3 linked regions of the Alligator mississippiensis genome follow. The protein of the gene in region 3 interacts with the protein of the main gene of each other region in a pairwise test. Links are inferred from orthologs where the notes say so. Each region holds a gene or a part of one and is shown on either strand. Other genes may lie near its edges. The genes, in order: KPNA5, KPNA6 and NUP50.

Region 1 (10,286 bases), on a different chromosome or scaffold from region 3:
AATGTTTCCAAATGCTATCGCTGTCTAAAACGTTATCTAAAAGTTGTGCCTATGGGGCACTTGTTTGAATTTTAGTTTATTACTGATATAGACAATACTTTAAATTACTCTTTAAAAGATATTAAGAGAACTTTCTCTACATAGCTTCACTGCTCCATCTGAAATCAGTAAGTTGTATAAGGGGTTTTCACATAAACAGCAGATAAGGAATAATTCATTGGTACAGACTGGGGATGTCTGCCTTGCTTTGTAGTGGGCGGGGAAGTGGGCCATGGCCCACATCATTGGATCTCTCAAGCATAGTTTAACAACATTTGCAGCATCAGAATGTCAATTGCTGTGGTCACCCTGCTTTATCAGTGGCAAGTTAGGGTGTTATGTCTTGTGGTTGTGTCAGAGTTGACTCTGTAGCTGTATGGGATGGTTTGGATAGAGATGATTCTGGCTTAGGCAGGGACTAGATAAGCTCTGGATGGTCCTTCCAGACCTACTTCTCTATAATTCTATGAGATGCATCAGTCACAATCCTCAACAAAAGCTGCAAGTGCATTTTAATATTAGCAGCCGAATCAAATTTTTCACAAAAGTAAACACTACCTTGCTTGAGAGTTAAGTATAGGTAACCCTTGCATAATGCAGCTTCACTTACCGCAGTTTTGCTATAGTGCTCATTTAAAATACCTACCTGGTTTCACTTAGTGCTCAGCATGTTTCGCTATAATGCTGAGTGCAGGGGTGGGGAGAAGTGGTGGCAGTGTCATTGAGTGAAGTGGTGAGTGCCAGCAGGGGCACAGGGCAGGACAGCAGAAGCACAGGGTCCACTCTGGCATGTGATATTGGAGCGGGCAGGGAGGAGCAGCGGTGGTGTAAAGGGACGGGCAGGGGGCATGAGCGCGGGGCCTGGATCAGTCCCCAAGGCCACGGCTGGCCAGGCCCAGGACAGGACGGCAGGAGCTCAGGGTTCACTCTGGCATGTGGTGCTGGAGCGGACGATGGGTGGAGAGGAGCAGCAGCAGCAGTGAGAAAGGGCGGGCGGGGGGGTGTGCTGGCAGGGGTTACAGGAGCACAGGACCCACACAGGATCCCAGGGCCAAGGCTTGGGGGCCGGCTGGAGCACAGGGCCCAGGCTGGCAAGGTGGTGCTGGAGCTGCCAGTGGGCAGGCGGCAAGAAGCGGCAGAACCAATTATATTTATTTACATTAATTTCTCTAGGAAAATGGGTTTCGCTTAGTGTGTTTCCACTTAACACTCAGTTTGTTCAGCACCAATTAAGAGTGCTAAGCAGGGGTTGCCTGTACTGCAATGATTGCTAAGTGTGCAGCTATTTGTTCTGATACTCTAATCAAAATGTCCTTGATTTTCTTCCTTTGTCTAAAAGACTTAACTTTAGAATAATAAAGGTTTGCATGTTAACTGTTATGTTCAAACGAATTTGGCATTCATGTGATATGAGAGTTAGAAGCATTAGTTAGTTCTGTTTTTGAAGAGTGTAATAAATTCAAGATATAATGTTTATGAACAAATTTGAAGAAAGAAAGCAACACAACACTGATTTACCTTTTGAAAGCAGTTTTCTAAATTTTTGGGTTGCTGTAAGCTGCTGATCAGGATCATCTGAGAAAATCATCTGCACCATATCTGCTGTAATAACTTCTTCCTTTAAAAAAAAAATTCAAAAAATGACATCTTTGCAGTTTTCAGTACTTCGAAAGCACACTTCAAATGGAATTCTGAAACACTCACCTCTGGAATAGGTACAGTAGAACTGACATCAGGATCTTGGATAGGGCTTTCTACCATAGATTCTTCATTTCCCGGGAGAGAAACATTTCTGCGTTTAAATAACTAAATGAAGAAGAACTAGATAAAGTTTCACGTTATTACGTTTTCCAAATGCCCTCCCCTCCCACCCAAATTTAAGGTAAACATTCAAAGTATGCAGTGCCACAAGCAGCTACAGATGTTTTGGTAAATTTGAAAAAAAGTAAATTTCAACAAGTAATCAACAAGTCACCTTTCCTATCACTGAAGCAAATGGGGATCTTACAAAAAAAAAATTATGAATTTTGAAGGAGATGCACAAAACATCCCCATAATGTACATAATGGGACAAACAGCAATGGCTTCACTCATGCTATACTTTAGCTTGTATGATTCTTTTTTAAATCAGAACACTTGACACATTTTTAAATGCAAGAAAAAACCCTAAATCCTCTTCTTTAAAGTCTTGCTATTTTAGTCAATATTATTTAAAACATATTTTAAAACGGAATGTAAATCACTCTCTCAATGAATTAGTGGACTAAGACTCAACCCTGTGTTCAGCGTTTCCTATTCAATACGTTAGGCCTCTCTGCTCTCCTGTCTCCTCTGGATCATACTGAGGGGTGGTTTAATGTCTCCATGAATTGCATATAGAGCATGGCCACCCCCATTTCCCCTTAATCCAGGGCCAGACAACAAAAAGCATCTCAACGCCCTTTGTGGATGCCAATCTACATTCACAAATATTCAGTTATTTAGTTAACAGACCATGTTTACTATGTTTCAGAGTAAGAGACCTACTTGCTCTTCCCTTTTTTGTTTCCGAAGCTGGATTCCTTCTTCTTCTCTTCGTCTACGCATTTCTTGAGGATTGAGTGCATTGTTCTTGTAACTTTTCATCCGATAATTATCTTTTCCTGGGCTTGCCATGGTGTCTATAACAAAGAACAATGCTTTTACGTAAAAGTCTGTATGTTATGAGATACAAGCAGCTGCACAATCTCTAGGGCAAGAAACTGTCATCCTCTGACAGTGGATGGCACCTACTCCATTCTGAAAGACAGGCTGCCTAAACAGATACATTTCCTAAACCCTGGGTTAGGAAACAATGTACTCAACGTAAAACAAACAATTAAGGAGCACTCAACCAGCTCCATGTGACAGCACCTTCCTTGTGGACAAAGTAGGCTGGAAAAAGCAAGTTACCTTGACATGGGCAACGTCTACGTGAAGTTTTCACAGTGAAACCTGCCAAACTGATTATCACCTACCACACCCCCAAGTATGGTAGCTTGCCTCTCTTCTCTGACAGGATGTCATGTTGATGGCACCTTGGAAACAAGGGCAAGACCAAGGTGAACTGGGAATGATAGCATTTGGTGCCCTCCCTTCAGCTCTCACCATGCCCAGCTCCTTTTATGGTGCTGGTACCTTCAGCCTGAAGCAGTGTTGCCAGGTGTTCGATAATTATTGTATTTAAACAATAATTTCACCTGTTGTGCGATGTACGATCAACAACAGTAAAAGTGTTTAAAATCTACAATATTTTTTGAGGTAGCTCATTGATGCAGAATATGCAAAACCCAAGTCACTCTAAGGGAATCTTAACCAACTTCTGGGTTTGCAGTCAGCACTTTCTTATGATGGCTTGCCTCGAAATAAAGAAATGCTTCAACTTTGATGACCCAGTTCTCACTCACTCATTGCTGACTTAGAGTAAGCAATATGAAGTAAATAAGAAAATTTATTTGTGTACTTATTTACGTTTTAAAGTATTTTTTCAGTGTGCAATAGTTTTTCAGCAAATACAATAATTTTGAGCTTCCAAGCTGATAATTTCACATTAAGACCTGACAATGCTGGCCTGAAGGGTCTGTAACCAGAGCAGACCAGGAAAGCTTATGGTCTCTGGGCCGCTGCTGCCAGATGGGGTAAGATTCAGCCAAATCTTTGCAAACCTTGCTACGACTGCAGCCACCATGCACCTTCCCAGGCAGCTGGACCCTCCTTTCGGATTGCGAACACACAGCTTGCCCTCCCAAAGGGAGGAACTGAGCGCCGGGGGCAGCCCCTTCCCTACAGCTGACTCCCTCCACAGCCAACCCAGGCCAGTGTTACCAGGTGCACGACAATCATCATGTTAGTAGGATAATTTCAAATCTGGTATGACCAATGATAGTAAAAACGTGCAAAGCGTACAATCATTTGTGAGGCAGCTCATTAACCCAAGTCACTCTCAGAGAGTCAATTAATTGAGTGTTGGGCTTGCTGTCAGCACTTTCTTAGGACTGCTGGCCTCCAAATAAAGGCATGCTTCCACTTGGATGACCCAGTCCTCTCTCATTCGCTGACAACTTACAGACAGCAATAGAAAGTAAAGAAAAAGACCACTTATTCGGATGCTTATATGTATATTTCTCAGCGTACGCTCGTTTTTCAGAAAAAAGGACTACTTGAACTTCCCAACCGATTATTTCATATTGAAGACCTGGCAAGGCTGCCCTTCAGGGCCGGCTCCCCCTCCCCCCGGACAGCCCAGGCCGCCCCGCAGAGGCGCGGGCAGGCGGCGGTCGGCCCTAGCCCGCAGGGCCGCGCTCCGCGCCCCTTGCCGAGCCCCACCAGCGCCCGCCCCGCTGCTCTCACCCATGGAGGCGGTGCCGGAGGGAGAGGCCCCAAAGGCCGCCGCCCGCGACGTCTCGCAATCCAAGATGGCAACCCCGCCCGCCTTGCGAGCCCCGCCTTTCCTCCCAACAGGCCCCGCGCGCCGCGAGTGACGCAGCAGCGGCCAGAGCCGACAGCCCAACACAAAACCACAATTCCCGTCATGCACCGCGCGCAGTACTGTGGAAGCAGGCGCTTTGACCGCGCGCGCATGCGCCCTGCTGCCACAAAAGCGGAAGCAGGAAGGAATTCAGTGTCTGGGCGTTACTCGAGCCTTGCAACCGGTTGCGCGCCTCAGGGATGCAGGTGTGCGACGTGTGCGGGCAGGAGTTGTTGTCGGAGTCGGAGGTGCGGAGCCACCTGGCGCGGGTGCACCTGGGGCCCGGCCCGCCCTGCCCGTTCTGCGGCTTCCGCGGCGGCGGCTACGACCAGCTGCGCCGCCACATCGACGCCGCGCACCCCGAGCCGGGGCCGCAAAGCTCCCGCCCGCTGGGGGCTGCGACGGCGGCGCCCGGGCCCAGCCCGCTCGCGTGCCCCCTCTGCGGGGAGGCGGCGGCGTCGGCCCCGGGGCTGGAGGCGCACGTGCAAGCCCGGCACGGCCGCCTGCTGCTCGCCACCGCTCCAGGTGAGGCCCAGCCCGGGGGTGACGCCCGGACCCAGCCCCGCTCCCCGCTGCGGTCTCCAGAGCAGGAGCTGCCCTGCAGTGAAGTGGGGGGCTCATGCCACAGAGTGGTTTGGGACATCACGGGAGGAGCTAGGAGGCCTCTCACGTGGGTCTGTGTATCTTACTAGGGCTCTGATTAGCATAGTAATCATGGAAAGTTATGGGTGGCAGGAACCTCAGGAAGTCATCTAGTCCAACCCCTGCTGAAAGCAGGACCAGCCCCAACTAGATCACCCCAGACACAGCTTTGTCTAGCTGGGTCTTAAAAACCTCCAAGGATGGAGATTCACCCCCTCCCTGGGATAGGGAGAGCCAGAGGCAGGGCAGGCACTGCGAGAAGTGGTTTTCAATAGAGTGTTGTGTGATGCCCCTCAGGTGCACGGAGGTGGCAGCCAAGTGAAGCTGCCCCGTGTGCAGGGCTGTGGCATGCACGCTCCCGCTGTCTGCTGGATAAAGCCAGGTGCGAGCAGAGCTGTAGTTCTGGAAAGGGGGTGCAGGCGGTGAGGTGCAGTCTCATATAAAGTGACATGTAAGCAGAAGAGAGAATCCCTAGCTCCTGTGGAGTAAAGAGTTTAGCAGGGATTTGGTAGATTAGGAGCCATGAAGTCAATTGAGTTAGGTCTTGCTATGAGCTGGAGATTACACTAGATGACCTCCTGTGGTCCCTTCCAGCCCTCATTTTCTATGACTCCCTCTGCACGAGCTGACTAGAAATGCTGTTGCCACTGCCAGGGTGTTGGTTTTAAATTCTGGGTGGAGCAGGAATCAAAGAGGGGTGCAAGTTTATCTGTGCACTCTCCCCTGGATCTGCCCCCAAAGCCAGGCCGAAGGTGCGGAAGGGGGAACTTTCATCACTACTATGTACTACATCCTTTTGTAGCTTCTGAGGAAGTCACGTGTTAGCAAGGAAAGCTCATGCCTCTCAGAACCAGCCAGCCTCTAATGCAGCACTTATGCAACTTTAAAGAGTCAAGGAACCTCTCCATAACTCTTTTAATTTGCATTTTCTCCACTCCCCTCCTAGAAACAGGGACAGTTGCACTGGTGCATCATTGATGTCAGGAGGAGCAAGGGTAGGGGGCAGACCAGGAAAAGCTGCGCCCCAAGCTAGCTTTAGGGTTACTAGAGAGCAGGAGGAGTGTGCACATTCTGGGCTGGCTGTACAGCAGGCGTGTGGGGCATTTTGACTTGGAAGCAACTGCACTCAGTTTAGAAGCACTGAGGGAAGGCGAGGCAGCAGCAAGAGTGGCTTTCATCCAGGGGTGCCACCACACTCAAAAAAGTGTTGTAACTACTACCTTACTTGCTGACTGGTTCAGAGATGCTATGAACATGGAGTACGGAAGGTACCCTCCTGCCCTTCCTTCTGACAGCTTCAGATTAACAAGCTAACTGCCTCTGCATTGGTGAATAGGAATTGTGTGTCAGGTAGAACTAGGTTCTCTCATTGTGTCACCCTTGACTGATTTCAAAGTGCAGTTATATGTATCCTTTTAACATGTGAAACACTGAAAATATGAAGGTATATAGAGTAATATAGCTCCATAAATAATACTAGGCATGTCTCTACTGGCCCCATTAATTTAATAACATACTTGTTAAACCTGGAAGAAACTCCTGCAGGATTTCTAGAGTGCTGCACAGCTTTGCTGCGGAATCTAAGACTCATTTTCCAAGGGAAGCCACAGGCTTGGCTTACTGACTCTTAAGAGCTCTTGCTTGCATTTAGTGTCATTTGTCGTCATATTCCTGTACCAATGTCCCTCAGTTCTTACATGTCTGAAGATGTACTCAGAGTGAAACTGAACAATTGATAAAAGAAAGCACATTCTTGTCCCTGCGCTAAAACTGTTGTTTGTTTTAAAAACTCAGTGGGATGCCAAAAAGTTATAGAAAAACTTTTTTCAATGTTGGTGCTTTCTCCCTTATTAAAGCTTGAGCAGAATCCTACTCTGGCCTTCTGGTTCTTCAGAGATATTTGGTAAATACAAGATAGACAAGCTTTTATTATTAGAAATGTATTTCTAATACCAAAAAAATATATATTTGGAGTTATGATAAGGAATCTCCTGGCATGCTTAACAGAGGATGATGAGTAAAGAACAAACTCATTTTTTCTTTGTTGTTTCCATGACATCTGTATTATATCTTCGAACATGAAGGCCAGAAACTCGTTTATGAAAAATGAGTTGTTCCTTTCCTGGATCGTTGAAATATCTGGGACTGAAGAGTAGATATTTTAAGTCTATTTAAGTCTGTTTTATAATTTAAGGTGTCTGGTAACAATTGCAATCTTCTATAGTTAAGTTAAACATCATATTATGCTTGATGGGAAAAATAAGATCCCTCCGCTGACTTGTTCTTAAGAGTTTACTTTTATTAATGTACAGGTAGTATGTGCCTTAAGGCACATATTCAACACACTCTGTTGAATTCATGTTACTAGCAAATTCTATTTTTTATTTTAAATAAATGCAAAATGAATTAAGTAGTAACTTTTTTTGTCATAGAAAGCACGTGATTTGCTGCTTTTCTTGTTTGGATTTTATGAAACAAATAATTAGTCCACCAATCTTAAGCACAGTACTACTCTCACATAATTTGTTTTTCAAATACAGGAAACAAACAGCTCTATGAATGTCCAATGTGTGATCTTGTCTGTGCAAGCCCTCAGATTCTCCAAGAACATGTTGACTTACACTTAGAGGAGTGTAGCTTTTCGGAAGGTAGGTGGAAAGATCAAAAGGTGATATTGGCAAAAAGCAGTTAAATTGGTTCTAGGTTTCATACCTACAAAAAAACAATAGTTTATACTTTGCTTAAAGTTTGTCTTGGTTATTTAACAAATTGGTATTTAACGTTATGGCTATGTCTGTGTTGATCCCATTTTCAAAAATGAAAATCAGTTAGTAGTAAATACCTATAGCTACAATTTTACAGCACAGAACAGTTGGTGAAAACAGCACTACCTGATGTGAAACTGCTAAGGATATGCATTGTGTATTAAGTAAAATGTAAACATGTTAATAGATCTACTTAATAGTTTTAATATTCTCCAGCTCTTTAAAATATAACAGTCTAATATCACACATCTTGAAATTTCACATAGACAAGTATCCACAAGTCAGATGATTTTAAAAAGTCATTTTTGGCATCTCGGATCTAAATTACCCATGATTACTGACTTCTGACAGAAAAAGAATGATTTATCAGCTGTTTCTGTTCTGTGATATTTTTTCATTAGTACTCCAGCTCTCTCCAGCTCCTGTGAAATTCTGTTCAGTCTCTTACCTCAGCTCTCTGTGTTCACTTTAATCTGTGTCATTCAGCACTTCATGGACCTGAAAGTTTGCCAGTAAGCTTCCTGGTCTTTTGAAGTTAAGTCCAAAAGATGTGGGCTTCTCTTTAGCAAGCTCAGGCAAGAAAGAAGGCTGAAGCTAAGGGCGAATGAAGCAGATCATCTGTGCAGTGATGCGGTTTACCCAGATGCAGCCCTACAGATTCCAGGGGTGGTTCTGTGGGTCCTCATAAAGAGGTATTGGGGCACTGGGGATTTCTCAGGTCCCATTCCTCCATGCCAGGAGCCTGCAAACTTTCCTCAATTCAGAAGATTGTGGACAGGTCTTTGTAAGATGAGAACCTCGGCTTCCCTGTTTTCTCTAAGTGGGAAAAGCTGGACAGATGCTCTGGGGGCTTGAGGGACTCTCAGGCTCCCAGAACACGTGTCTGGCAGCTGGAGAGTACATATACAAATTTTAATGGCAGCACAAATGAGACATCAGGTGACATCTGTTTCCACTGTGAAAGAGCTAATCAGAGAAGACTTCTTCCTTACTAATAGAGGGGCAGGTTACTTGTAACAGCTCTTACAATCCCTCCAATAAATCTGTACTCTTACTTGAGTTTAGGTGCACCTTCAAAATTATTAATAATTTAATAAATGTGGGAGTTGTCTCCCAAAAATATTAACATACAGTTATCAGGTACTTCCTGTTGATGTACTTACAAACATTTGTACAAACTCTTCCAATTAAATCAATGTTGGATGTCAGACCAACTCGCTTTTTACATGATGTATTATTAAAATGCAAATGAATAAATATTCCTTAGCTTAGAAAGGTTCTTTCAGTTAAATGTATCCCTGCATCTGACAGGTATCTAGTTTCTCAAAATCATTCTCAAACACTCAATCTAGCATCTGAATTCTTAAGTTCCTTTTATAGAGAGAAAATTACATTTACTATCCTCTCCCTGTTTGTGTACGCAAATGAAGTTAAATATAAACTTTGTCAACTCTTTCTTGAACGTTACTGCTAGGTATAAATGTAGGTGATTTAGAATTGGCTCGGCAGCTCCAAGAGGAAGAAGATAGACAGCAACGATTAGAAGAAGTGAAAAAGGAGAAGGAAGAATTTAAAAAACTACAGGTACAGAAAATTTTCCATGGTATTCAAATGATAAAAACTGGGGTTGGGGGGAGAATTATCATCACCAGTGGGGTATCTTGGAGTTGTGTGTATTCTGCTTGGGTGTCTTGCTGTTCACCAATGTTCATATTATTATGTCAATTAAACTAAGTGCAGACAGTTAACTAATAAAATAAAAATAATAGAGCTGAAATTCATTCTTTTGACTTTGATAACCATTCTGTATTTCAAAGGTGAGACTTGGAGCCATTTTCATGAGTGAGAACATTTGTCCTTATTTTCTGTTGTAATCTGTGGTAGTCACTTTGCAGGATCACCTGAACCTAGAGTTTTTGAATTTGGTACCTTACATAGACTGTAGATGTATGCAAAGAAAAAGTGTGCGCATCATAAATTGGGATTGTACCATAAAGTATGTCAGAAGTAATGATATGTCGGGAAAACAATCTAATAGATTCATAGATTCTAGGGTCGGAAGGGACCTCAATAGATCATCGAGTCCGACCCCCTGCATAAGCAGGAAGGAGTGCTGGGTCTAGATGACCCCAGCTAGATGCATATCCAACCTCCTCTTGAAGACCCCCAGGGTAGGGGAGAGCACCACCTCCCTTGGGAGCCCGTTCCAGACCTTGGCCACTCTAACTGAAGAAGTACTTCCTAATGTCCAATCTAAAACTGCTCTCTGCTAGCTTGTGGCCATTATTTCTTGTAACCCCTGGGGGCGCCTTGGTGAATAAATACTCGCCAATTCCCTTCTGTGCCCCCGTGAT
Region 2 (10,141 bases), on a different chromosome or scaffold from region 3:
CAAGGAAGTGAGCATTTCACGGGACAAGTTAATGACTGTTTAATGATGCTGGAAACCAAAACAAGTGAAGTGGCTTTTGCTGAGTACAACAGCTTCACATAACATTGGGTTCATCTGTCACAGTCTTAAAAGACTGTGGTCTTTTTTTTTTCTTTTAATGAAAGATTTGCCAATCTCTGCCTTGCATAGAGTTTTATCACCAGTTGTCATTGTTTAACTGAATACAAGAGGTAATAGCTGGGCACTGAAAGTTAAGTCAGCCAGACACTCCTGCTTGTCCATCACCTGTTAAATTGTCCAAAGGCTTAGACATAATGTGCCTTCAAAAGCCGACTTCTTACAAAAAGTCTTGATAACTGCATTTTTCTTCTGCTTTCTCAGAGAAACTTGATTCGCTGAAAGATGAATGTCCTGTTATCTTGTAAGATAATGCCTTGGACTTATTCAGCACCTACTAAATTGTTAGGTTTGACTAGCTAGTATCTGTACAATGCTTTGAGATCCCCAAATGGCAGGAGATGTGGAAATGCAATACATTTTTCTAGTAAAATGCATCCTAGTACAACATCCAACCTCTTTTGCATTCAACCACTAATTGGCACTTCCTTCAAACTATAGCAGTAGACTGTGCTTCCTGCTGGGAAGTCGCAGTAAAATTGCTGCATTCGGTGAGCAAAACAGAACCATTCAAAGCCACGGAGACAATGGAACACCAATAAGTGCCCCTGAAGCATTTAGGAATGTAATCCTTTCCTCCTTTGATCTAGCCAATATATTAACACTAATCACTGTAATTTCTTTAAAAATATAAAAGAGAAGCCAACAGTTACAAGACCACATCCGTTTTTTTGTGATTTTTTTTTTTAATTAAATAACTATAGGTAGAAGTAACACCTGGGATCAGGATAAACTAAATAAGTTAGTAAATGGAAAGAAAATCCTTTTGCTGTGTGACTGACAGCACTAAAAAAAGGTGCTTTTACCATTACTTCTGCAATTAGTTTCCTGATTGTTGAAAGATCTGTATAACCTGAATGGTGGTACAGAAATAAAAGCCTTACAAAATTCAGAACAGTATCAAAAATACAATGGAATTGAAAAATCATTTTTTAAATGCAAGTGGATAACATCATTTTTTTTTTTTGTAAATAAGAGAAGAATGCAGAGTCCTGCTTTACCAGCTAGCAGATAGTTTCCATAGGTTCACCAGCAGCAGCTACAGATAAGGACCTGTCAACATTTGTCTAAGAAACTCTCTCCTTGAATAGTTCGTAACTAAACTAAGAGAATTCACCACGGTCAAAGGTTGTAGGGAAAAGAACCTAAAGTTGTATTTGAGAAATATCTGACCATCTAATTAAGCTTGTCAGGAAGAATATATACACAGGACAGAGTTAGCTGCATGTACACATGAAGGGACAACATTAACTCAATCTAGTGCCTTTCTAGAACTAGCTAAATAAGGGGGGGGGTTTACTGAACCTGCTCTTTAGCTCCAATACCCATTTTCAAGTCGTCCCTCACCTCTTGTACCAGTGAGGTTTCACTTGCAAGAAAAAGCAAAGTAATGCAGAGAAACCATCAGAGAAATTAAACTGAGGTTTCCCTCCAATATTTCAGATACGCAGATTAAGTGTTACATGTGGCATTGTTCAGAAAAAGTTTCAGTAAAACAAAGTTTAAGATTATTAAAAAAAATAAAAATAGAAGAGAAAACCATAGGTATTTTCTGTTTCGTACCTGGGCCACATTTACCTTCTCAAGGCAAATTCTTTCCTGAATGTTCAATACAAACGAACATCCGTTAATTCAGTGGATGCTAAGACCTGTCTTAACACAGCCTGCCTTGGATCCCATAGCTGTGTGCTGTGCACACAGCACATTCTGTGCTAGTAAAACGCTTATCCATGCAATTATTTTGGCTGTCTGGTGCAGCAGTCACCATTGGCTCATTCCCTTCTGTTTTAGCTACCGAGAGCCCGTGATGTGATCTCATTTTTGGAAGGCACAGCCACTTTGCTGATGGTGCTGGCTGCAGAGGGAGAGGAAAAGCAAAGGTTTGCTTCTAGGGAATTCACCGTCACTTGGTATATTGGTCTTTCACCAAATTCAATCCTGTTAAGGTTTGGGTTGAGATTACAGAGGCCTGAGGGAATAAACACAGAGGTTGCCATTTTTTCTTCAGCCAGTCCCCAAAGACTCACTTTCACATTCAACTGTCTGCCCAAAAGCTTGCAATTAAAGAGATTTTTTTTGCAAAAATCTAGCTGGTCTAATAAAAGATATAATCACCTCTACCACCAATCCCAATCGCTTTTTCCTCTAAACCAATATAGCTACAACCTGGATACCTTCTTTACCCTCCTACATTTTCCAGGTCTTTTCTGTCGCTTTCTCCACAGAGCTGCGCGCTTCGTGCAGAAGACAAGTATCCCAGCATACATAGACAGGCTCTAGCATCTACAAAGGCATAATAAAGACCAAGCTGATCTTAGCTGGAGTAGTATAATAGCACTTAAACCAGGGGATTAGGCCTCTGTCTAAACCAAACACTTAAGACTTGGTGTTTGTACCTGCTCCAAGCATTTCACCATTCCAGGTTGCCTTGAAACTCCTTCCCCAAGAAGACTACAAGGGAAAACGCCCAACATTAATCTTTGCTAATACCCAATTTGTTAAACTTAGATAGTGTTGTGTATGCACCCCACCCCCAGACTGTAGGTCATCCTAAAGTTTACTTGCCTTCCGCAATGGTTTGTAAATCGTTTATTGAACAGAGATCCTATTTCCATGCCTTTATCTTGACCCTTTCCCACACTCATTTCACAAATAAGTGTTCAGTCCATACAACCATATGCAAAGCAAAGCAGCCACCTAACTGAGCTGCCCAAGTTTTTGTCTCAAGTAGTTTTGTGTCAGCATGAAGCGTGGTGCACTACTCTATGTTGTGTGTGCACAGCTTGCGCAGCAAAGAGCTTGCTGCGCAGGGCTGGACATAACACACACTGCTATATACAGCAATCTCTTTAGCTCTGTCCCTCTGTTATGTTAACATTACCTGCATCGGCTGTTTTGGTATACCCAAACTGAGCACTTAACCACTGCCTCAATGATCTGCCAGTGCAGGTTTTTTTTATGTAAAGCCTAAATTACTCTATTCAACTGCTTTCATCCAGAGAGCTGAGTTAGCCGGGGTCGTAAATCATGTAACACAGACCAGCAGGACACACGAAAGGGGGCCTGCTCCCCCTGCGTTCGCCCTCTGTTTTGAGAAGCCAAGTGACGGCTTTCCAACCTCAATTCAGTTCAAACCTCCGGTCAAGAGCTGACATCCAAGTTGCGATACGTCAGGCAGCGTCCCGGACGGCACAGCTCCATCGCTACCTCGTTCCTGCTCTCGGCGCCGCTTTTTTTAAGTCATGGTTTTACAAGCAAGCGGCGTTGGGAGGTGGAATAAAAGATCCCGGAAAGGCCGTTTTGCCCAGGCAGGGCCCAGAACCAGGGACTTGCAACTAGACCGGCCTTTCCTTTGACACCTCGCTCGACAGCGCCGTCGTCAAGCAGTCGGCCCTGGCTTTCAAGAGGGGCCGGCCGGCCGGCGGTACGCTCAGCCGGGTTGCTTTGGCTTGTCATCCAACCCCCCCCCCGCTCCAGCCTGGCTCATTAAGGGCCTAAAAAGGGCGGTCTCGCCCTTCCCGGCGTCGAAAGCCTTCGCTCCCAGCCAAGCGAGAGCAGATCAAGGACGCGCAGCACGATGCTCCTACGGAGAGCGACCCGTCACCGTCCGCTCGCTAGACGCGTTTCCCTCGCTTCGTGCCGTACGCGCCTCGCTGGAAAACGGGCCCAGCTCCAATTTACATGCAGGGAACCCACTTTCAAAGAAGGACAGTTTGAGAGCGCTTCAAGACGGGCGCGTTATAGAAGCGGAGACACGCAAAAATCGGATACGCTCCGAGACCTCAACTCGACGGCTCGGGCGAGACCGTTTTGGGGCTCGCCCATAGCAGACGGCGGGGGCGGCTGTCCCTGTCACGGAGACGTGTCGCAGGCAGCCAGGTCCGTGCGGGAGGCTGCATTTCGGCGCCCCCCCGCCCCGATTCACGGACGGCGTGACAGCGGGGTTACCCCGCGGGTAACGAAACCGGGGCACGAGGGCGAACTGGCACATCCAGGCCGAGGGACACCTGGACTCGCACGCGGGTATTTTGCTCCCTGTCGCCTCCACAGAGGCAGCCCCACGCAGCGACTCTGCGCCCAGGCTCGGGCCCGCTTCCTGAGGGCTGACACCCGGGAGCCGACAGGGCCGGGCCGGGCAGGGCAGCGACGCTGGAAAGAAGCCGGCTCGGTCCTGCCTGCTCCGGGGCCGCGGGTTTTTTTAAGACGAGTTCCCGAGAGCGGGATGAGCCCCGCCGGGGAGGCGGGCGCCGCTCGGCGCGGCCCGGCCCGCACCCCCGGGGCAGGCCCAGGCCGCGGCCCGCGCAGGGATCTCCGTGGGAATGAGACAGCGCCCCCGGGGCCGCGAGCACCCTGCTAGGGGGACCCCCCGGCGCCCACCCGGGCCCCGGCGCCGGCCCTCACCCATCGCTGTCTCCGGCGGCTCCGACGCTCCGGCTCGCAGGCGGCGGCGGCCACAATATGGCGGACGGGCAGCGAGGGGGGGGGTGAAACGGCGGCCGCGAGCGGACAAACCTCCGCGCGACGCGATGCGGACGCCTCTTAAAGGGACAGCGCGCCCCCTGGCGGCCCGGCGCGGGCGGCAGCGACACGCTGGAGCGCCGGGCTCCGTGCGCATGAAGGGGGCGAAGGTAACCCGCGAGAGCGGGACCCTCGTTACGTCTGCATGGAGCTGTATATACCGAGGGCAGACAAGGCTCCTTGGGTGAATCGGACCTCTTGTATTAGGCAGAGGTATATTTTTGTCACATTATGACACATGAAATATACACCTGAAATGTATACATGAAATATACATTCATAGAGTGAAAATGCCCAGGGTTTGGGGGTTTTTCTTCTCATTTAGAGGCCCCTCCTATTGGGCTCTCAAGGGAGAAGGGGCTCCCGAGGGAGGTGGTGCTCTGCCCTATCCTGGGGGTCTTGAAGAGGAGGCTGGGCAAGCCCCTGGCTGGAGCCGTCGGACCCCAGCGCCCTTCCCTGCCCCGGGCAGGGGGTCAGACTCGATCTGCTGATGTTCCTTCTGGCCCTAACACCTATGAAATCTCTATTGCAAGGCCCTAAACTGTAGCTTAAGTAGTTTAAGCCTAAATCCGGCACTGTGTGCACTCCCTGCCTGGGCATCCCCGGCTCCCGCGGGAGCATCCTTGCTGGGCACCACTGGCCATGGGCCGGCTCCATGGACACTGCAGGGCAGGGCCCTGGTCTCGGGGACCAGGTGAAGGGGAGGCAGTCCCCAGCTCTGGCCGGCTCTTGTCCTCACCCAAGGGGGCAAGTGCCATTAACCCAACCATGCTGTACGAGGCTGTTTGTCTGCCAGGGCCTGGTGCCAAAGCAGCAGCTTGCTGCCCACCTGCCAGATTTCAGGGGCAGCAGCCACCTGAGCCAGACTGGAGCAGAGACCAAGGGAAAGCTTCCTTATCCCAGGACTAACCCCAATAACGAGAGAGAGATTTCTGCCTTTACCCGGGAACTGCTCTCCCCCTCCCGCCTGAGAAAGGTACTGGTGCTCAGACCCAGGGTAAATGGCTGTTTGCTTTTCTCTGCGGGCAGAGGGAGATGTATATGGCTGACATGTGCTGGCAGAGGCAAGGGGTGCTATTAGTTCCTCCATTTCTGTCCCCGCTCTCCCCAGCAGTGTGATGCCAGCAGTGCTGATCTTGCTGGGAAAGGCTCGTGCCAACTCACTAAGGCAACTGGTTTCTGCCCCAGCCCAGCCCAAAGGTGGAGCAGGAGCTCGGAGGGGTCCCTTCAAAGCAGCTTCACTTGGTGGAAAAGGCTGAAGCAGGCCCCAGCCTGAGGAGCTTTGACACTGCATAGCAAGGGGCCCAAGGGAGAGAAGGAGCCTAGGGGTGGCTTTCCCCCCTGCCTCTCTTCTGCACTCAGAGCAGAGCCTGCTGCAACACCTAGAGAGCAGGCGGGCAGGTCGGTGCTGACCCACAGACCAGGGATCCAGCCCGAGCCTCCCCCAGACGGTGTGGAAAGGAGGAAAGCAGGAGCAGCATTGAGGAAGAAATCAGATGCTACCTTCCCAGCTGGAAGCAGGAGCTTTCCTTATCCCATATATGACAAGATGCTGACTGTGCAGTACTTGCATACATAAGTACTAAATCACTGTGCAGTTCCTGGAGTCAGCGCACAGTAGCGTTGCTGAATGGCTTTTAGGTAACGTCACCTGCGCAGTAGTGTCGCACCACACTTTGTGCCACGCAATGCTACTGTGTAGTAACGAGCTACCGTGCAGTCAGCGTCTCATGCAGATGTGACCAGGAAGTGTAATAATTGCCCCACAATATGCCTCTGAGAATGCCTCCCCCCCAGTCTGCTTCATGCAGTCACAGAGGACTCCGGTGATTGTAGGACACAGCTTGCTCCATCTAGATGCCTTTGCACAGCAGGGTTTGAGGAGGGGGTGACCTTTAGCACAGGAATAGATACAGGATTGGTACTGGCCAGTGCGGTTTTAGTGACCTCATCAATAAAAATGGGATTTTTGGAAATTACACATGAGCTGGGAAAAGTAACAGAGTTAATACAACCGGCAGACTTTGGCCAGGCACAGGTAGCATGGGAACTGCACATTCTGCTTTTATTGAGTGCAATAGCAACATGAGAGTGATGGACCAATATCTGCATAACTGACAAATCTCAAAAAAGAAAAAAAAAAAAAGTTACCTGTGGGGAGCTATGATTCAAGTGGGGGAAGGGATCTCCCACGCTGTCTCAGGGATCAGGACAATATGCTTTGACGGTGACCAGGGGTTAATATGAAATCAATTGTGGCAGATGGCAAATAATGAAAACAAAGTAGTTCAGAGCCCTCTGGCATAGGAGACGGGCGAGAGCAGCCCCTGGGCACATTCTTACACCAGGGTCCCTTGCTGTGCAGTGTTGAAGCTCCCCAGTCTGGGACTTGGCTGGGGTCTGTTCCAGCCTTCTCCATCAGGTGAGACTGCTCATACGGGACCTCCATCAGAGGGCCCCAAGCACTCTTACCTTCCACCCTTTTGCTGAGTTAGGGCAGGAACCAGCTGCCTTAGTGAATCACCTGGTGCACCCATTCAAACATAATGTCGTTAAAGGCAGCCCAATGCAAGGTTCATAAGTCCCGGAAGAAAAACTGCAGGCTGTGCCTCCAGGCTGGCGCACTGGATTCTGCAAGGCAGCCACTCTGAAGAGGATGTAGGGATCCTAATGGGTGTACAACTCAAAACGAGATCCCAGAGCAAGGAAGCAGTCATGAGGAGGATGCTGCACGTGGCACTGATGATGTAGATATCAGGATGCCGCACCCCATTTGGGCATCTGTATTAAAAAAAAGTTTTGAAAAATTGGGGAGAGTGCAGAAAGAACCCCTGAATGATCGAAGGGCTGAAGGAAGTGCTGCACAGAGACATCCGAGAGACTATCGAGGCAATTTGATTTTCAACATATAAAAACCTTCCTAGTGACACTAAGACACTAACACTTTCTCCAACGTAGCTGCAAAGGCAGAAGGCAAGGTAGAGATACACCTTATAGACTATCTGAATCAGAAAAGGCCAGAACAAGACCCAACAGCTGCAAGCTGAAGTCAGCCAAATTCAAAGCTAGGATGAAGGCACCAGTGTCTAGCAGTGGGGGAATGAACTGTTGGAACAAACCACCCAGGGGAAGCACTGGCTCCTCCAGTCTTTGAGGCTTCAGAGCAGGACTGCATGGCTTTCTAAAACAGAGTTTCAGCTAAACATGCCCTTGGGCTCCATGCAGTGATAGCAGGACAAAACATAACAACATGCCAGCTTTCCCTGTGGAAGGAGCTTTGACAGACTCTTGTCTTTGCATTGCCAAGGTCACACTGGATGATCTAATGATCCCTTGTCTTGGAGAAGAGAGGAGAGAAATCCAAGATGAACATACGGCAACACAAGGCGTTTTTTGCGCGCACTGCTAAATCCAATGATGTTACCTCTATTATTCCGGGTGCAGGGGACAAAGCTCCCTATAGTCTCTGGCACAAGATGGTATACATCTGCTGCCAGGCTCCTCTCTGTCTGAGCTTTGCTCTCAACCCCAGGGCAGCAGGAACCAGGGATGTTAAAGCATAAGCTGCAAGTTGATGGAAAAACGGAGTTTCTGTGCCAGCTGCTGGCAGGGAACCTTATGCTCCACAGCCCATCCTCATAGGCAGGAGTCCTCCAACCCCCAGCACGTGGAAGCTAGTGAAGATGTAATTTCATTGGGGTGGCACGTGGCCTGCAGAGCCAGGTTTCCCTTTATATGGAGCTCTGACGGGCTCTCATCTTTGCATGGGGGGCCAAGATGGCAGGAAAACATTTCAAGTCAAATGAGGTAGACACATCAGCCCCCACACCCGTGACAGACCTGCTGCTCCAACACCAATTCATGCCTGATAGAGTAGAATTAAAGGATGGAAGCCTCCAATTTCAACAGGTGAGGAGCTGGCAACTGCTAGCTTAATGCCTTTGGCCAGAGGCAGAAAACATGCAGAAAGAAGGCTAATTATCACAGCAGAAGTACTGCTTTGACCACAAGGAGAAAACCTGTCCGTGTGGGAGATGGACCTCTCAACTTGTTGCCACAAAGGCCCACTGGACCTGGGAACCATCACGAATCTCCCCCTTTCTGCTTAAGAGCACCAGGCATGGCTGTGACACACATGCTCCAAATACACACACTCCATGGTGTGGATGTTAAGCAAACAAATGCCAACCCACCCATGCAAAGCAGGCCTGAAATGCTGCCAAATCAGGGGGCTACTCATGCCCCTTGGTGCAATGCAGGGGAGAATCACACCCCTGGTGCATCCAAGAGAAACAAAGGCATAGACATCTCAACATCTGCCTATGAAAAGCTCTGGATTAAAGAACTTTTCTCCCCCAACAAAGGTGGTTACAAAACTCACAGGCGGTTCAGAGATATAAAGGATAAAAGTGATTCCACATTTGGAAGGCAGGGATGAGGCAGCAGCGCTCTGTGCCCTACCTCCCAAGTGATGAAGAGCAGAGCCCTGGAGGAACCCTGGTTGGAGCAGCCTGCACACAACATGCTCTTACTGCTGGCTCCCTGCCACCTCCTTCCCTCCCCTGGGGGTGGGCAGCCCCTGTGCTAGTGCACGCTATGGGAGGCTCCCCTGCTACCAGCCACCCATCCAGCATTCAGCTCCTGCACAATCCAAGACCACCTGCAGTCCCATCCACTGACTTGATCACACTCCGAACCTCACCCTCCTTGCTCCGTTAAAGCGAATCTCGTCACCCCCACCAACCTCTGCCCCAACCCAGGCTGTCCAGCAACACCTCTGTGCTCAAATACATTCCCCACACTCCTCCCCATGACTGGATCAAACCCAGCAGGAGCAGGGGAGGAGGCTGCTAGTGCTACCTATGCTTCCAGCCAGCCAGTGCAGGGTCCGTCCAATTCCTCTTCCACCAGAAAGGCCAGAGTGAGAATAGGGAGAGCCTGGGAACCAGGGCACCCCACGCTCTGCCCTTGCAGGAGCTGCCTGCCCGCCTGCTGAGTTGGGTACCAAGCAGATGCTGCAGGGCTGGAAGAGAGAGGATGGGAATGGGAGGGTCAGGCTGGGGACAAACCAGTGTTCTAGAAGGGCATTGGGAAGCAGCCCCAGGTAGCCCAGCAGGGAGAGGCAGCCATGGCAGGGGCAGGGGAGACACATAGGTTGAACCCAAAGACTGTCAGGAGCAAATCATACCAGCTTCTGATAGAGCCTGGTGCCAAAGCCTCTGCAGCAAGCCAGGACCGCACAAGCAGTGCCCTCTGCCAGGCAACCTCCTCCACAAACCTGGAGCCGGTCATTCCCTGCCGAGACCCCAGGCACCAGGCACCGGCGAGAGGCCCTGCCAAGTCTCTTGGCGGGAGCCACGGCAGAGGAACCCGATGCAGAGGAACATTCTAAGACGTCCTTTTATTAAAATGTGCGTCACCGTTCTGCGTGGCGCCCTTTGCTGTT
Region 3 (9,634 bases):
AGGCCTTTTATCTCAATAGAAGAAAACAAGGGAAGTGAACATACCAGCAAAGGCTACAATCTAGAGGTTTCAGTCTGTTAGACTAGCTAATGGTACCAGAAACTAAGTGTGCTACTACTAAAGTGTATCCTCAAAAGCACATAGCCCACATACGTATCTTGATCCATTTTTTCTACTAACCTAAAGTTAAAAAAGGTAACTTTGTACACCAACATAAACTAATTTTATATTACAGTTAAACAACGCACTTTTAATTGTTTTCTTCTTTGAAAAAGTTGAGCAATGAGATTTAATCACTTGTCATTACGTTGGAGGTCTTTTATTATCTAGCTACTATCGGATCCGATTTGAGTTCTTGAGCTTTAGCCAGTTTAACAGGTACATGACTTGAATCAGGAAACTTATACTTAGCTTTGTTAGGTTGAACTTCACACATTTCATTACCTTACCTTACAAAGGAAAAGGAGGGAAATCAAAAGAAATATCTTACCTCCTCAGCTTCATCCTCTTGATCCCAATTCCTGTCTGTCAACTCCTTCTCTGCAATTCTCTTTGCCATTTCTCCACACCTGCAAGTGTTTCACTAATCAGTAATCTGGTGAACTGTTAGACTAGCACAGAATACATTTGCACAGAATGAAATACTAGTTCAAATATTCCTTAACTTGTATTGCTCAGAACAAAATGGGAAGTGTGCATTTGTATCTTTAATAAAGTAATTTAAAATTAAAAAGATGAATAAAGTCTCAGTTATGTTTAACGTATACAGTTGCTATTTGATGCTAAATTTGTTCAAGATAATTGAAACTTATTTCAGGATGCCTACGTATGTAGTGTGTTCTCAAATCCTAAAAGCGCACAAGTAGCTCTAAAGCAGACAGCAGTGGAACCACAACAGTTCAGTTAAATGAGAAACCTACCTTAAAAAAGGTAGAGCATACATGTTACCCTTTAAAAATTATGATACCTCCCATGAACCTTCTAAAATTTAAGAGGGAGGAAGATTTTACAGTGAAAAGTAACCACCTAAAGTTCCTTTTATTGCGGAGAAATAAGGGACCTTGTACTCAGCAAAACAGAGTTTAAAAGTCACATTTTACTTTGGTAAGATCCTGGCAAACTGTCAGTGTTAGAATTTTATTTTAAGTTTGAGGTTAGAGACACATATGTGAGAAATTCTACATAGAAAGCAGGGTTATTTTAGAAAGCTAAAAATAAGTCAATTGCACTAATACAACTTACTTTAAGCTCAGTAAGGTAATGGAGTTTATAACAATAACCAAGATTTGTGATCTGTTTAAATACCTAAAAAATTTGGCCTCTGTGTATCTTGGCTTTAACTATAAAGATATTTCCTATGGAAACACTGTCATTTTTTACTCCAGAAGTAAATATAGCCCTGACAGTTGATAATATTCATGAATTACAGTAGTAGAATTAAATTACTTTGCTTAGGGACAAGAATAAGATAAGGTTTGGGGCCCTGTATTTCCTGCACTGATGAAATCACCAAAGTTCAGAAGGCTTCCTTCAGCATCCAAACCACAAGCAAGTCAGAACACCAGCACAAAAGAGCGAGCTGGTTAACCACTGTGAAGGAAAATAGACTAAAAAAAAAAAAAAAAAGTCCCAAGAACCCTCCCTAAAGGGACAGGGTATTGTAAAGGCTACAAAAGGAAGTTGCAGAGCAGGCTTGCACAAGCACCCCTCTTTGGATGATATTAGGAAATGGCCTCACCAAATTTTCACACCAAAACCAGGGACAGACAACTGGGTTGAAGAATTTTAAGGAGCCAGATCTCAAATCAAGAATATCTGACATACAAGGAAAGTACTCTAATCTATGGAACTCTGCCTTGCCCCCACTTTTGTTATCAGGGGACAGGTTTCATATGATTCATTTGGGTCTGATGTACCTGCATGCTTCACTAATGTAAAAGCAGGCTATTTGCAGATTATGGAAGTCTTGCTTCTCTGCACTGAATGGGAAATCTAGTCACCACAACAAGAGTAAAGGAACTGGAGCATGTACACTGGTAAAAACAAGTAAGGGGTAGCTTAGCATAAAAGTCTGGTACCCTTTATCAGAAAGCAAGAGAAGCTAACTGGCCTCAGTGTTCCTTCAGACACACATGCATTTACACAACTTCTTCACAGGGGAAGAAAAGAAGAGGTTCTCTTTCACTACAAACCAAGGCACATTCAAGTAGAATTTAAACAGAGTTCTCACTAGGTTTCTTTCTTGGATTAGAAAGCAGAGATATGAGAGACTCTCTACCTCATAACTTGTACACATGCAGAGGTGTTCTCCACACAGCTCTCACCACAGCAATTGTACAGTGAGGCCAGATGGAGAGTGAGGCCAAACAAACAAACAAACAATCACCAAACTGCATTTACTTTAAAACCGAGGAGAAGTTCACCTGGAAAATTAGGGGTACACCAATAGAGATTTTGGGGGCTGATACCAATGGCCGATTTTTAAGGAGCCATATCAGCCAATACCAATCCAATATGCAACCCAGCAGCTTGGAGATCAGTGTCCGTCCGGCGGGTAAGTCAGGCTGTTGTGGGAGAAAGGAAGGGGGCAGATCAAAGCCCCCATGGTGAGGGAGGACATGGGGCTGGGGAGGGGTTGTACAGAGCTGTGAGTGGCTTGTCCGGGGGACATGGGGAGGGGAGGTGGCTCCTGCCCTGCGTGCACCCTGGGAGGGGGCCCAGATCTGCGTTGGGGAGTAAGGGTGGGATGCTACTGTGAGCTGGGCTGGGTTCTTGGGGGGGGGGGGAGGGGGGGGGGCTGGACCAGGTTGCCCTTGGGGTGGGTAGCAGAGGGGGGTTATAGGGCAGGGAAATTACCCAGAAATTCACCATAGGCCCCCCCCATGCTGCTGGTGCTCACCCCAAGTGCAGCCCAGCCCCTGCTAGGAAGAGCCCAGCACTACCCTGGCCCCAGCAAACAGCAGCATCCTGCCCTCACCCCGCATTGCGGATCTGGGGGCACATGCCCCCACGCCCTCCTGGGGGTACAGAGAGCGGCAGGAGCTGCCTCCACCCCATGGATGAACTGCACACGACTCTATCCCGTGCCCCACCCCAGCTGTGCAGTGCCTGCCCCTGCCCTACTCCCTCCCTCACTGTGGGGGCCTTAATCTGCCTCCCCACATACTCTTTCCCTCCCCCAACCCCAAATGCTGCTGCGCATGTTGCAGGGCTGCGCACCTGGCCATGTGCATGCTGTGGCTGTGGGGCATTTATTTATCAGCCGTATTATTGACCACACCAAGCAAAAAAAACCCCGATGTCCAATACTGTCAATTTTCCCTATATCGGAGCCGATCCAACAAGGTGCCCATAGTTATAATACAACATACTGATATCTAAAATAATATCGGAAAATGCAGTCGTAAGATTCTTGGCAACTTCAAAACACACCAAAATGTACAGTCTAAAATTAGACAATTGAAGGCAACCTCCCCCCCCCAAAAACACCCAGCTGTCCCAGCACTAGTCCTGCAAATTAAAACCTGCCTCAAGCTATAAAGAAATTTTAGAGAAAAGATTTTATAGTGAAATGTAAACCCCTAATGTTCACTTGATTGCCCAGCAGCAACTGACCAGGTTTGATTTCTGCTCTGGGCACTAAATCAATAGCTTTGTGAGGCAGGTGTTTTGCTTCTTGGCCTGCCAAGCACAGGAAGTGAAACATGCACATGCCACATGTACCCTGACCAAAAACCAACTGCACTGGAACAAATTAAAAATAAATAAACGAATTAAAATGTAAAGCTTGCAGCACCCCGTTTTTGACTCCCTGAAACCAAGACTTTGATCCGACTCCCCAAAAGAGCCGGGATGAAGTAGGTATTGCTAAATCCCCGTGCTCAGCGTCCGGAAAGAGAGGAGGGAAGAAGCTGGAGGGTGCCCCTCCCCCCATGTGCACCGTCCTCCCCCGCGGGCCAGAGGGACCCAGAGCCCTGGGAGGGCGCGGGCGCTCCCACACACACCCGCAGCCACGACTGGGAGATGGCAAGCTCTGCCCCAAGCCGGCCAGGGCCGTGGTACAGCTAAAGTCTGTCAGGTCGTGGGCAGGCCCGGGCCCGGGCCCCTCCCAGCAGAGCCGCGCGGGCGGGACCTTCCGGGAAAGGGAGAGCCCCTCATGACGGGACCCCGCGAGGCACCTACCTCCCTCTGTCGGGCCTCGCTGCGTCCCGCGAGGAGACGCTGGGTGCCGCCCGCCAGGAGTCCGGGCCGCGAGCCCGCTCACCATCCCCGGCCCCGGGAGCGCCCTCCGCGTCCCGATTCAGTCGGCGGCGGCCGCCATCTTGCCCTCGCCTCCTCCAGCCCGGGGGGAACCGTTGGGGAAAGGGGAACGGTCGGTAACCACCGCAGCAGCCACCCCCTGCCCCCCTCCCGCGCGTGCGCACTCACCGGCCTCGGCCCGCGCCGCTGACGCTCAATGAGGCGGCGAAAAGGAGTTGGAGGGGGAGGGGGGACCCCAGTCGCGGGCGGCCGTTGGAACAGCGGGTCACGAGCCCCTAGTCAGCCAATAGGGAGAGACGTGCAGGCTTCTTCGGAGGGCTCGGCCTCAGAGGGGCGAGTCGCGCATGCGTGCCGGGGCTAAACGGGCAAGATTGCTGCGTCAGTGGCGCGCCCGGCGTTCGAATTCGGGTCACGTGGCCCGCGGCCCGCGCGCTCCTTGGAAAAGGATAGTGGCTGCGTTCTTTGCGGAGCCTTGCGGGTGGGGGTGCTTGCGGTTGTTCGCTCGGATGAGAGGGCGTCTCTCTGATGCACGCGTCTGCGCGAGCGCTCTCTTTCAGTGTCTGCTGTGTCCCCATCGGGGGGCAGAGTGGGGCTGGGGGAGACAGGCAGCTTGTCTGCTGCAGACAGATTCAATCACCACCACCCCTAACCCAACAAGCGAACATCTGTTGCGGGGGGCAGGTGCTCTAAATTATGGCGCTTCATGTAAAGCACCATGAATAGAGCAGGGGCCTGCACATCTGTCAGTTTCCATTGTTCCCATTTTGAGGATTATCTATTAGGGATCTGGAAAAAGTACTTCTCTGCTGCCTATCCAGTTGCTTACAGACCTGAATAAGTGTCTCATTCAGAAGTAGACCCACTCAAATTCCTATTCCAGGCTCTTGGCATTGTGAAAAGGAATTAACTTCTTAAAACCAAGTAGATAGCTGAACAATAGTGAGTGGGTAAAATGCACTGCACACAAAAATAATAAATTTCCCACAAGGTTATTTGGTTAAATTAATAGTACAGCAAGTACATGGAAAACAATTAAAAAGAAAGCTTTTTGTATGAAGAGTAATTGGCCAGCAGCCTCTTCTGCTAAAGGACTTGCAGGTAAATGATGAATGGAATGTGACTACCTTTTAAGAATGGCTGAAGCTTTTATTAAATTCAGTAAAGATATGCCCAAAGTACAGCTCTGTTGAAGGGAAAAAGATGCACAGATACACAGTGGGGTATAACTGGACAGGTAGAGGGAAAAGGGTCAGAAGATTATAGTAATCATAAACTGAATATTAGTCAAGACTGTGATAGTGCTTCAAAAGAGGAAGGTTTTATTTTTGGATGTTTTAATAGGCCTGCCACGTATATGACACAAGTAACTATTTGTACAGTGCTAGTGATGCCTCAGCTGAAGTATTATGTCCCATTTCAGGCACAAGTCTTTAAGACGGATGTAGACAAACTGGAAGGAGTCCAGAGGAGCAGAGAAAGTGGTAGTGATGTAGATGGAACGAAGGCGCTGTTTGCCAATCAGCAGTGGGAGGCAGAGCCTCTGCAAAATCAGCTCTGTGTACCACAAGCAGGCTGCAAAAAACTCATTTTCTCACAGCGACTTAGGTAGATCCTTAGTTATTGTACAGGATGAGCTTGCAGAGAGGAGGTTGCAAAACCATATGGGGATACACATGGGAACCTCAAGCCATCTTAGCCTCACACACTAGCCAAAAACTTTTATCAACAGGAAGGCGAATTCTCCATCATGTTGCAAGTTTAGGTTAATCACCAATGAAGGTTGCAGGGTGGGCAGGAAAAGATCTATAAATGACAAAAACTCTGAAAATTCACAAAGATACAAAAATAGCCTCTTGGATAATTAGAAATTTATTCCTTATTTCTGGAATGAACAAAAAAATGTTTTGTTCCTCAAATCACTATCAACATTAATAGAGTTAAGATTCTTCCTGTTGTTTTAGAAGTTCCAGTTTATATTCTAATTCTCTAGTTAGTGAAGTTTTTTGCTGGTCACTTGGATGAGTTTAGGAAGCTGTTTTACACTTCATTGCCATTCAGCTGCTAATGTAGGTGTAATATGTGTGAAAGGCAAGGGAAGGTGGCTGAGCCTCATGAAAAGGCCAAATGCATCTCACATGTTTCTAGTGAAAAGTGCTTGCAGAATTTTGCAAAACATCTGTGAAAATAAAGGAGGTAGTTCCCAGCTCAGGGGGAAAAAAGGACTGGAAGTGGAGAGACTTCCTGAAAATTATGGACAGCCAAAGCGAGGCCTCTGGAAAATGCTCCAAATGTTAAGAGAAATAGGGTAGGGTGGTAAATGAGAGATAATGAATGTATTGTAACCAAGGACATGACTGGAAATATGTTGATGTGCACCACGTTTCAAGCATAAGGATTGTTTCAATAAATCTTCCCTATAACCCTATAAAGGCAGAAGCTTTTATGACCTTTTGTTAGGTGCAGTCACAAACTACTTGAATAGCTCTTGTCTTCGTTTATCTACTTTGGGGGTTTGGCAGCCTTTTATTAGGATGAGAAGGGCTCTGGGCAGTCCATAACATTGCAAGTGCTAAGGAAAATCACAAAAATTACCAATTGATTGTCCTCGTACTAGTCACCGTGGAGGCTGGGGTGGTGTAGGCACACCAAGGCACATGGTTGACAGCCCAGAGATCATAAACTCAAGGCTATCAGCTCAGAGGTCACAAATTCAAGGCCACAGCAAATTCAAGGCACTTGTGGCATGGTCCTGTCAAATTCTAATGAACCTGCAAATTCTGCTAAATTACCTTGTCAAAAGGACCTGGAAACAAAGAAAGGACTAGTCCCCGTGCCAAAAATGATAAAAAATTGCATTTCCTAGTTTTGCAATTCACTCTGAAATGTTTGTGTCTTCCAACTTACTTTCCTGTTATAATAGTGCCCTTGTACCAGTGCTGGGAGGGTGCAATTAGAGAAAGGCAGAAAAAGGTTAATAATTTCATCCTTGCAGCCTGTCTACATTGGAGCCTGATTTCTTCAGGTAGGTCCTGAGGAGACGTAGAAGGATGTTTTTATTTTAACAAAGCAATGGGTCAGTCATGCGGATGTGAAAATTCGGCACCTGATCCAAGTGTGAAGCCATACAATGTGTGATAGCAACGAGATGACTGTCTGAAGCATAGTACGGAATGTGTTCTTGTGAACTTAAAATGAACAGACTCTGAAATCAACTTATTTCTGTTCCAAAGAGGATTAAGTACTGCAGCAAAAGGTGCCTGGTAATTTATAAAAATTTATAAAAAAAATGTGTAGTTGTGTGTAAGTGCAAGGCACTGTAATATGAATGATAATCTGATATCACATCCCTACGTAGAAAAACCCTTAGACTACTTATGCAAAGATGTCTGCCTTTCCTATTGTATTCTCACTCTAACCAGTCTTGTCTTTTTTTGACTTCTTGTACCTTTTGAGAATCCAGAACTCCAAGCTTTCCTGGGAAGGAACTCGTTTCTCTGTACGGTTGCTAACAAAATGGGACTCTAAAGTAGTGGTGCTCTGCTCAACCTTTTAAGGGTCACAGCATCCCACTTCCATTTTTTTGAATGTGGTGGTACCTCTGTCGGAGAACCACTGTGGTTCTGCCTCAGCTCACCTCAGTACTTCTCAGCCGGGTTATCTTGTACCCAGATGGAACTGCCCTGCATGCCTGCTGCACAGCCAGCCTGGGAAGGGTTGGGCCATGTGCATGCACTGCCCCTGCATTAATGCTCTCAGATCAGCCTAAAGCAGACAGAAGCTGCCCCCTACAGTGTAATCCTACCTGCTCTGGTACCCCTACGCATCTCCAGAACTAAAAGTGGATGGGACAGTGCCACGCAGGCCTGTTTCTGGGAGAACTATAGGAGCTGGACCACAAATCACTGCACTGCATGACAGAGCTTTGCTGCCTGCTTTAGGCTTAGAAATGGGGAACAAGTAGAGCAGTTTTACCTGGCTGCTGCTCCCATGACACCCTAGTTGAGAACCACTATTCTAGAGACTACTACAGTGTACAAAGATAAGACTATTGCCAGTTTAGACTGTAAAAGTTTAAAGTCCAGAAATGTCTTTTTGTTAAGTATTTATACAGTACTTAGCAGAACAGGAATTAAGCACACTACAAGCACATACACACAATAAATAATAGTTTCTGTTCCAATAGTTTTTAGGCCAGACACAGGATGTTTAATAAAATTAATATGAGTATATAGAGCAAAATTATTTTATTTATTTAAATTTATATTGCAACAACAATAACAACAACAATGTATATTACATACAGTCATGTTTCTGATAGGTGCATATTATGTTAGAGGAAAATTTATTTTTTCTAATATAAACTGCAAAGGGAATAATAAACCGGAAGGAAAAAAGAAAATTATGGTAATGGGATCATAATTTTTTTTCATAGCAGAATTGTCTTTTTTTTAAGTGACTAGTGATTTTTTCCAGTGAATAAAGCCCAACGTTAAACCCCTTAATGGGTCCTTATTTACAGATGGTAGGTACCCAGCACTTCTTGAAAATCAGACTTATTCAGTTGGTACCACCAAAACTGAGGCAACCAAACTCTGTAGTCCTATTTGAAAATCATGTCAATCAATAATTGTTCACTACACTTTGACTGTTAAAGATACTCCACCTGTAGTAAGTCACAAAATCAGCTATATAAAAATGCAGAGGTATCAATTTCTAAGTTATTTTATGATGTACATACAGCAATTTTTTGGTAACTTCTGTGTGGTCTTAAGCTATTGCATTACTTTCTTGTACCGAGTGTCAAAATATTACAGCCTAATATATAATTACAAGTCTCACTCAATGTAACAGCACTAAATCTTGGCCTTTGTCCTGCAACACAATGCATTTTGAGTAGTCTTGTTAAATCCAGTGGGACTATTTACAGACATAAATATTTGCTGGATTTGGGCCTTATTTTGTAGTCTATCAATCCTGCACTGAGTTCTGTTCAGGTAGTCCTCTTGTCTGTAAGAAAGCCTAATTAATGAAATCATTGGTGTGAAAGCAGTATCTGCATCTAGGCATGCAACTATAAAAGATCACTATGCTTATATTATATTTACATGACAACTGCAGTGGCTGCAACAAAATAGAACCATTAACAACAGGTTATGCTTTGAAACTCAGCTTTGTCAATATCCTTTTTAGAACTGTTTAAGAAATGTTTGCTGACATATCATCTTCACGAAGTAAAGAAGACTAAATAAGCTTATCAGATATGTTCACAGCTTTTATATAGATGTATGAATCTTTATCATGTTCTTGTCAAAACTGGGTATGAAGAGATTCCCTTTAAATCTTCTTCAGCAATCTCTCGTAGTCAAGGATGATT

Evidence for each region.
Region 1: the proteins of NUP50 (region 3) and KPNA5 interact in binary tests that used the Homo sapiens proteins (3 or more experiments, as listed by UniProt). The two-hybrid records come from large-scale screens. The link is inferred for Alligator mississippiensis from reciprocal best matches to the Homo sapiens genes NUP50 and KPNA5.
Region 2: the proteins of NUP50 (region 3) and KPNA6 interact in binary tests that used the Homo sapiens proteins (3 or more experiments, as listed by UniProt). The two-hybrid records come from large-scale screens. The link is inferred for Alligator mississippiensis from reciprocal best matches to the Homo sapiens genes NUP50 and KPNA6.

Annotation. Positions count from the first base shown.
Region 1 is NC_081824.1:101,707,042-101,717,327, reverse strand, and holds the start of KPNA5 (importin subunit alpha-6), read right to left. Parts: upstream 4,518-10,286; 5' UTR 4,412-4,517; coding exon 4,408-4,411; intron 2,700-4,407; coding exon 2,566-2,699; intron 1,846-2,565; coding exon 1,744-1,845; intron 1,658-1,743; coding exon 1,558-1,657; intron 1-1,557. Other genes in the region: ZUP1 (zinc finger-containing ubiquitin peptidase 1), read left to right, coding at 4,726-5,050, 7,708-7,815, 9,407-9,516. UniProt on the Homo sapiens protein: Functions in nuclear protein import as an adapter protein for nuclear receptor KPNB1. Binds specifically and directly to substrates containing either a simple or bipartite NLS motif.
Region 2 is NC_081829.1:5,509,169-5,519,309, reverse strand, and holds the start of KPNA6 (importin subunit alpha-7), read right to left. Parts: upstream 4,688-10,141; 5' UTR 4,583-4,687; coding exon 4,579-4,582; intron 1-4,578. UniProt on the Homo sapiens protein: Functions in nuclear protein import as an adapter protein for nuclear receptor KPNB1. Binds specifically and directly to substrates containing either a simple or bipartite NLS motif.
Region 3 is NC_081827.1:134,202,285-134,211,918, reverse strand, and holds the start of NUP50 (nuclear pore complex protein Nup50), read right to left. Parts: upstream 4,585-9,634; 5' UTR 4,429-4,584; intron 4,373-4,428; exon of another isoform or gene 4,183-4,372; intron 570-4,182; 5' UTR 560-569; coding exon 491-559; intron 1-490. UniProt on the Homo sapiens protein: Component of the nuclear pore complex that has a direct role in nuclear protein import. Actively displaces NLSs from importin-alpha, and facilitates disassembly of the importin-alpha:beta-cargo complex and importin recycling.